Linked DNA regions of Caenorhabditis elegans. The protein of the gene in region 2 interacts with the protein of the main gene of each other region in a biochemical or structural test. Each region holds a gene or a part of one and is shown on either strand. Other genes may lie near its edges.

Region 1 (3,676 bases), on a different chromosome or scaffold from region 2:
CCTTCAAAACCGGTAAAACGACACTCTCCTTTTACTGCATTACCTTTTCTAGAAAGTCCAGATTTGGCATAATCAGCGCTGTCAAAGCCTTTCTGGTACTCATCGATCCAGTGACGAGTTCCTTGATAATTGAGCTTTCCAGCTGCTGTCCAAATGAACAAAATATTGTATGGAGGACGTGTGCTTGGAGAATCATAGAATTTTGACAGAACAGCAAGCAATTCGAGAAGTGCAACTATACCAGACCCATTGGAATCAGCGCCAGGCGAGACTCCTGGAACGGCCGATTGTGTGTCATAGTGTGCCACAAATGCAATCGTAGGTGCAGCACGATCTCCACTACTCAAGCGACCAACAATATTCAGTGGTTTGTATGAAGGTGGAAGTTCTGGACTTTGATCGGAAGAAGTGATACTGATTGTGTTTCCGGAAAGTGATTGAAGCAAATGTTGCAGGGCTGTGGGAGCTTTTTCCGAGCGAGTATTGACATCGTGAAGAATAGAAACGGCGTCATCATTGAAAGGAGCCACATAAACAGCCAAGTCGGTCTTTGCGCTCAACAACTTTGCTTCAAGATCGATGAATGCCTGAATAATGAGCATAAATAACTTTTATGGCAATATGAAATTAAATGTTCAAGCTAACCTTCCGATCAATATCGTTAAGTTCATCAAGATTGTCGGGAATGAAAATAAGCACGGCACCGGTAGAAAGTGCCCACATGTCATCGACATCTGTTGTAAGAAGATCTCGCCATGTTGTAACCATAGTTCTAGATATTAAAATATTACTATTTACAAATGAAATATCCAAAAAAACCTGCGAAGAGTTCTTGCACCCAAGGAAACAGCTTCATATGATACGCGATAATTTTTGCATCCATAAATGTTACCACTGATTTCGTATTGATGAAGACGGTACGCATGAAACTCGGTTTCTACGACTTCTCCAACTTGCTGGGACCCGTTCACCTAAATATGGAGAGTTCATCTTCTAAATCATTACCAACAACTTACTACACAAATGGTTAACATTAAAGTCATGTAGAAAAGAAGAGCCGGACTTCGGAAAAAATCGATGATTTCATCCTGCATCTGAAAAAAACATATCTTAAGCTCAAAATCACGAGAATCCTGTGCAAATTAGGATGAAAGATCTTTCGGAGTAGGAATTATTTAATAACACAAACTATCATGATTCTACAGAAATCGATAGAATTAAACCAGAATTGATGATATATAATACCCGAGTAGGGAGAAAACTGCATGAGTTTTCTGAGCGGAATTCAAATGAGCCAAACATGCTCTACCGTACCTTGCAACAGCGGTGAAGGCAAATCGTTGCGAGACCCCTCCCCGCGAAAACCGCGACGCGCACACACTTTGAAAGTGGGTTTTATCGGTCTTCTACAGTTTTGGTCACTTTCCCGCATTAAAATTCTCTGTTTTAATATATTTAAATTCAATTGAATTAATATTTTATTATTCACCCCTTCTTTGTTGTATTATTTTATCTAACTACACTGTTTGAACGATAATTATTCTTTGCAAAAATTGAAAATTTCAGGAAATGGCCACTCTTGAAGATGGAACCTCCGAAGATCGCGTCGCAAATGATGAATACAAAATTTGGAAAAAGAACACCCCGTTCTTGTACGATCTCGTAATGACACATGCGCTTGAGTGGCCTTCACTCAGTGTTCAATGGCTCCCAGACGTTGCGAAGGTATGTGTTCTCATATAATTCACAACTTTCATGAAGTGAATTCAAATAATTTAGGATAACAGCGACCATACTATTCATCGGCTCATTCTTGGAACTCATACTTCAGATGAGCAGAATCACTTGCTTATTTCTAAGATCTGTATGCCAACGGATGATGCCCAATTTGATGCATCTCGCTACGATACCGAGCGCAGTGAATACGGTGGTTTCGGAGCTGTTAACGGAAAAGTGGAACCCGATATTCGCATTAACCACGAAGGGGAGGTTAACAGAGCTCGTTACATGCCTCAAAAGTCGAATATCATTGCTACAAAGTCTCCACATGCTGATGTTTACATTTTCGACTATTTAAAGCACTCTGCTGTTCCTCGTGATAACACGTTCAATCCGCTTATCAGACTGAAAGGACACACGAAGGAAGGCTATGGATTATCATGGAATCCAAACAAAGAAGGTTTGATTCTATCAGCGTCAGATGATCAGACAGTTTGTCATTGGGATATCAACGCAAATCAGAATGTTGCCGGGGAATTGCAAGCGAAGGATGTTTTCAAAGGTCACGAGTCAGTCGTTGAAGATGTTGCTTGGCACGTTTTGCATGATGGTGTCTTCGGATCGGTTGGTGACGATAAGAAATTGTAAGCTTTTGTTTTTTTTCTATTTATTAACTAATTAAAAATTATAGGCTCATTTGGGATGTGCGCACAAGCACTCCTGGACACTGTATCGATGCTCATTCTGCCGAAGTTAACTGTCTCGCATTCAATCCATATTCCGAATTCATTCTGGCCACCGGATCAGCTGATAAAACTGTCGCTCTTTGGGATCTACGTAATCTACGAATGAAACTTCACTCATTTGAATCACATCGTGATGAAATCTTCCAAGTTCAGTGGAGTCCACACAACGAGACTATTCTTGCATCCAGCGGTACTGATAAACGTCTTCATGTGTGGGACCTATCTAAGATTGGAGAAGACCAATCTGCCGAAGACGCGGAAGATGGTCCACCAGAGCTGTTGTTTATTCACGGTGGGCACACCGCCAAGATCAGCGATTTCTCGTGGAACCCGAACGAGCCTTGGGTTGTGTGCAGTGTGTCAGAAGACAATATTCTCCAAGTGTGGCAAATGGCTGATAACATATACAACGAAGTTGACGAAGAAACTCCAGCCGATGTGGTAGAGAGACAACAGTAAAATACGTGAAACGCGCTTAAATTATTTGTATTTAACTTCTATCCTTCTTTAATTTTGCATCTCAACAAATTGTTCATCTTACCATTTATTCAAACGCATATTCTTCACCAACTAAGTTTTTAAAGTTAAAATGTTACCTTGAGATATGATCATATTTTGTTGAACCTGAAATAAATTCGATGACCATTGTCAGATAACTGTTTTGAAATATTATGTTAACGTGATTGTTGTGATAGCTCAGATTGTGATATTTTTGGTTTTTTGTTGTATCTTTTGTTATTTCAGGCAATTTCAGAGCACAATGAGTGAAGCTGAATCGTGTGAAGAAACGAGTAAAGAACATAGAATTTGGAAGAAAAATGTTCCATATCTCTACGATACAGTCGTCACAAAAGAGGTCGAGTGGCCTTCTTTATCAGTGCAATGGATGCCTGATGTCACAAAAGTAAGAATCGGTAAATATGATTTCGCCTTCTTCATTATTTTTTTAAGACAGAGAACTCGGATTCATCGATGCATCGAATGATTCATGGAACACATACTTGTGGAGGAGTTCAGAATCATCTCATGATCTCAAAGTTCACAATAACGACAGACACACCAGAATTCGACGACGCTAAATGGGATTCGGAACGTGAAGAGTTCGGAGGTTATGGAGAGGGCAGCGCTGCAAAATGGGATACTGAGATTAAAATCAACCATCCAGGAGAAGTTCATAGGGCACGTTACATGCCACATAATCCTTTCATTAT
Region 2 (4,557 bases):
AAAAATGAACGACAAACAATGAAAAGTATGAATGAGTGGAAAGAAAAAAGAAAAACAAAGAAAGAATCGAAACATGTTTTCATCTTTTTTGCATTTTCAACAACAAGAACCCAGTAAAAAGCTAATTTCTCTCTCCGTCTCTGTGTGAAAGGAGTGCTCGGAGAGCCGATTCGATTCCATTCCCAGGTGGGGCTAAAATTTGGATAAGTGGATTTTTATGATGCAATTTTTGTTGGTCTCCGTTTTGGAGCACACCATCCAACATCAGATGAAGACAGACAAGGAATACAATTGAAAATAGAAATGAGAATTTATTCTGTAATATGAGACCACATGCGTAGTCATCATAATTCGTGTTATAATTGCTCGCTTCCAGACAATAATTATGAAGCAGCTGAAACTGACGACATAAACGATGTCAACTGCAAAAACTTTAGTCTTCTTCCATTCGAATTCCAATGTGACAAATTCGATTTTTCCAATTTCCGAATTGAAGATAGACGTTGCGCCGGTTCCAATCGAGTCAATTTTATTAAATAAATAAAAACGAAGAAATTCACCAAAATACAAAAAAGTGTTCAGGATCTGACTGTGGAATTGGAATTGTGTGCCAGTAAAATGGGGAGTGTGGGACGACAAGAGAAATGGAAATCGTTGAAGGGGGTAGATTAGATGTGGATGTGAGGAGTAAGGATGTTGAGGAAGTGCAAAACGGGTAAAGGATACTGAGATAAAAAAGGATTAATGGGGAAAAGTGAAGAGATCTTCCAAATAAAAGTGCTTGAATTTGAAAAATAAATAAAACAGTTGGGATTTGGGCGGAAAATTAAATTAGATTTAAGGAAAATCAAAAAGTAATACTCATTTGACAAGGAAAAAGTGGTGTACAGTGATTGAATATTATTTTCAGAGGAGATACTGAATTCGACGGCGGCACATTTTAGTGTTTTACTCTGTCTTCTGACGCTTTTCACCACCTTCCGACTCAAACTGAGCTGCTCTCTTCGCATCGCTCTCGTTTCTTCGATCATCTCCCTCACGCTCACCATCGTAGAAGTCTCCATCGTCTTGAATCATTCCATCGGTAATTTGTGGTGGTAGTCGTTTGTCGGGATTAGCTTGGTCGGCGATCAATGAGTCATCATTCAATGCAGAGAGGGCGTCTTCTGGGATCGCTGAAAAATGGAATAATTATGAAGTGTTCAACAAACATCTAATAATTTTCTGACAGATTCTAAAAAGTGAACAAAAATTCGTTCAAAACGTACGTCTCATTTGAACACTTGGAACAAAAGTGAGCTGCTCGAGATTGGCGATGACGTCAGTTTGCAATTTAGCCAGCATATCGGAGCTATTTTCATTTGCTGCATTCGACGACTCGATGTGAAGTCGGTAGTTTGGTCCAAAGTATTCGAAGTAGTCATTGTATGGCAACTCATTTGGAACTTCCTTATCGACGGCAATCGAGGTTTCGTACGTCCAACAACGTGCCACATTTCTTGGAGTGTATCCACCTCCACCGACCATCATAAGTGGAACGTTGTAGCTTCGGAAGAAACGAGCACATTCTCCGTGGCCTTTCAAGGTCAGATTGAATGGTCCAAGTCTATCTCCGTTGAGAGAATCAGCTCCACATTGAAGAACAACAGCACAGGGATCAAATCTCTCCATAACCTTTGTCATGATTGGTTTAAAAATACTCTGGTAAGAGACGTCGGTGATTCCATCGCGAAGTGGAACATTGACTGAATAGAGCTTTCCTTTTCCAGCTCCTATATCTTTCAGGTCTCCGGTTCCTGGGAAGAAATCTCCATATTTATGGAATGACACTGTCATTACTCGATCAGTCGTATAGAACGCCTCCTCTACTCCATCTCCGTGATGAACATCAATATCGACGTAAAGTACTCGCTTGTGGTACTTGAGAAGCTCGAGAATACCGAGAACGATGTCATTGGTGTAACAGAATCCGGACGCCTCGCTTTTCTTGGCGTGATGGAGGCCTCCCATCCAATTGATAGCAATGTCCACCTTCTGCTTGTTCAATTTAGTGGCAGCAGCCAGAGAACCTCCCGAACTGAGTTGGCAGAACTCATAAAGACCATCAAAGAGAGGACAATCTTCTCCAACATTGACTGAAATGAGACAATACATTTAGTTTTAAAAAGAATATAACTTACACTTAAGCATTTGTTTGTTGAAGGATTTCAGATTATCTGGATTCGCACTCTTCAAAAACGTCATGTACTCGTCGCTGTGAAAACGAGTCATGTCTTCGAATGATGCAGGGAATGGGCGCTAAAATTAAACGTTTACAATATTTCAATGAAGAAATATTACTTACGAAAATCTCTAAATTCCGGTACAGACCATAGTTGAGAACGAGATGATGGGTCATTCTGATACGATGTGGCTTCATGACGTGCCCTTGACCATAATAGTAATTTCCAATGTTGGAGTCATAGTAGTAGGCGACACGGCGCTTACCGTGCTCCATCAACGGGCCGTTTGAGTTCATGTTTGATGGTCGCAGTAGACTGAAATAACAAGATTGCTCGAAGAAAAATAAAATGAAGAGAAGGAGAAGGTGTAAGACAGGTTATGCAGTATTGATCGAGTTTTTGGCTAATTTTTGGTAATCGATATAAACGCGACGTGAAAACGCTCATTACTATAACACATTTTGATCAATAAACTGAATTCGGCAAGATCATTGAAGCGGAAAAATATAAGAATTGAGGTTTTGTAAAAACTTTGAAGGAATATAATTTTCAAAGACATATACTTAAACAGGTGGCTGTGGTTTTTTGGAATAATTTAGAGCACTGGAAAATTTCGCCAGTGCCAAGGAATAAAAAATTCTGACAATATGATATACTGTCTTTTGGGCCTTGTCTTGAAATTATTTAAATTTTCTTGGCACAATTTCTACAGGAATCTAAACTAGCCAGCCACAATCTATTATCAAAAAATATCAATCGCACAGGCCACATGGCTTTTGATTTTTATTTCTTTTTTATTTAGGCTCCTCCCATGATTGACCTTTAGTTTAATTTTTAAATTCACTTCGGAAATAAAGTTGTGGGAGGAGCTTAAATAAAAAACAAAAGCCACGTGGCCTGTGCTATTGATATTTTTTGATAATAGCATTTTACGAAATTGAGATTAATATTTGAGAGTGAGTTCTCCAATGAATTTCCTGGCGCCATTGCTGGAAGTATTTTTATTTTGAATCGAAAAATGTTTAAAAAATATTATTCAGTGCCTACAAATCGATATTTTCTTCCTTGAACGGTGGGTCTATTAGACAGGTGCAGCTCAGTGAAAATAACTATTCGAAACACTTCAAGCGTCGTCTTTTTATTATATTTTGAACAAATATAGATATAATTCTAGTAGAAAACAATAAGAAAAACAGAAAAGTGAGAGAAAAACGAGGTGAACGGTGAAACAGTTTTGAACGAGAACAGGAGGCAGACAAAAAACGCAGCGTCGTAAGTGTGTGCGGCGTGTTTGCACACAACCGCGAGCACGCACAATCTTGCAAAAAGGGGCGGGACGAAAACCGCCGTCAGTTTTTGGCTTCCCAATTTTTTATTTTTAAGCTAAAAATTGCTCTTTTTGAGTTTTTTTTCGATGTAAAATATTGATAAATATAAGTTATTTTGTTTATTTCTTGCAATTCACGTTCAATTTTTCCCCACGCTCTCACGATGTTGAATTATGTCAATTATCTTTTTTTTTAGCTTAAAAATATCAATATTCAAATAAAGCTTAACTACATAATCATTTTTAGTTTTGTAGGTAATCAACTATGGTCGTAGGAAAGCTCTTTGAGGCAGCAAAGTGGACTGCCGAGACAGTCAAAGGAGCCGCCGTCGTCGTTGCTTCTCCAAATGCTCCAATCCCGGCCACAGACCTTCATCCACGCATGCCAGCCCGGCCATGGACCGCTCAAGAATACGTAAGATTTCCCGGAAAGTATGAAGAAAATAAATAATGACAATTTCAGTTGAGAATGTGGTCCTGGCGCCATTGCTGGAAGTACCTCCCAATCTTCCGTTTCTACATTTACTCAGGAGTCATTCTCTACGGAGTCTACAAATTCGCCCTGCCAAGTGAGTTGATGATTTACTTAAAAAAAATAGTATATTTCCTGATTTTAGTCTGGCAACTTCGTCTGGCACGATGTTGCATTAAAAATTTTTGTAGTTTATTTTAAGTTTTCCTGAAAATAAATTGACGAATTCAACTGATTTTTATTTTAATTATTGCAGTCAAGCCACGCCACATGGTTCAATACTCCAAAGGAAAGGAAGACCATCACCATCACGAAGTCGAGCACTGGTGGGGAATTCGCCAAAAGTTGGCCGATAAGGAATATTTCAAGAAGTACAACCCACTCAAGAAGGAGGGTGAGGTCGAAGTTGGACACTACTAAATTGTTCGTTTTCTTTCCCATCTAGCCGAATATCCTCTCTAAACTCTGTTTTTCATCCTCGCTCGTTTTATTAGTAACGGCACATCCAAAACTAATGTTCATCTTCCGATAGTTTA

What was found.
Region 1: the proteins of hda-1 (region 2) and lin-53 form a complex in vitro, tested with the Caenorhabditis elegans proteins (one study listed by BioGRID).

The regions. Positions count from the first base shown.
Region 1 is NC_003279.8:9,617,651-9,621,326, reverse strand, and holds lin-53 (putative histone-binding protein lin-53), read left to right. Parts: upstream 1-1,566; 5' UTR 1,567-1,569; coding exon 1,570-1,725; intron 1,726-1,779; coding exon 1,780-2,363; intron 2,364-2,410; coding exon 2,411-2,924; 3' UTR 2,925-3,116; downstream 3,117-3,676. Other genes in the region: nra-2 (Nicalin), read right to left, coding at 1-1, 44-587, 646-772, 820-971, 1,017-1,094; putative histone-binding protein rba-1, read left to right, coding at 3,226-3,369, 3,417-3,676. UniProt on the Caenorhabditis elegans protein: Core histone-binding subunit that may target chromatin assembly factors, chromatin remodeling factors and histone deacetylases to their histone substrates in a manner that is regulated by nucleosomal DNA.
Region 2 is NC_003283.11:14,523,369-14,527,925, reverse strand, and holds hda-1 (Histone deacetylase 1), read right to left. Parts: upstream 2,538-4,557; 5' UTR 2,519-2,537; coding exon 2,345-2,518; intron 2,299-2,344; coding exon 2,181-2,298; intron 2,136-2,180; coding exon 1,269-2,135; intron 1,176-1,268; coding exon 949-1,175; 3' UTR 515-948; downstream 1-514. Other genes in the region: ril-1 (RNAi-Induced Longevity), read left to right, coding at 3,815-3,964, 4,013-4,118, 4,278-4,441.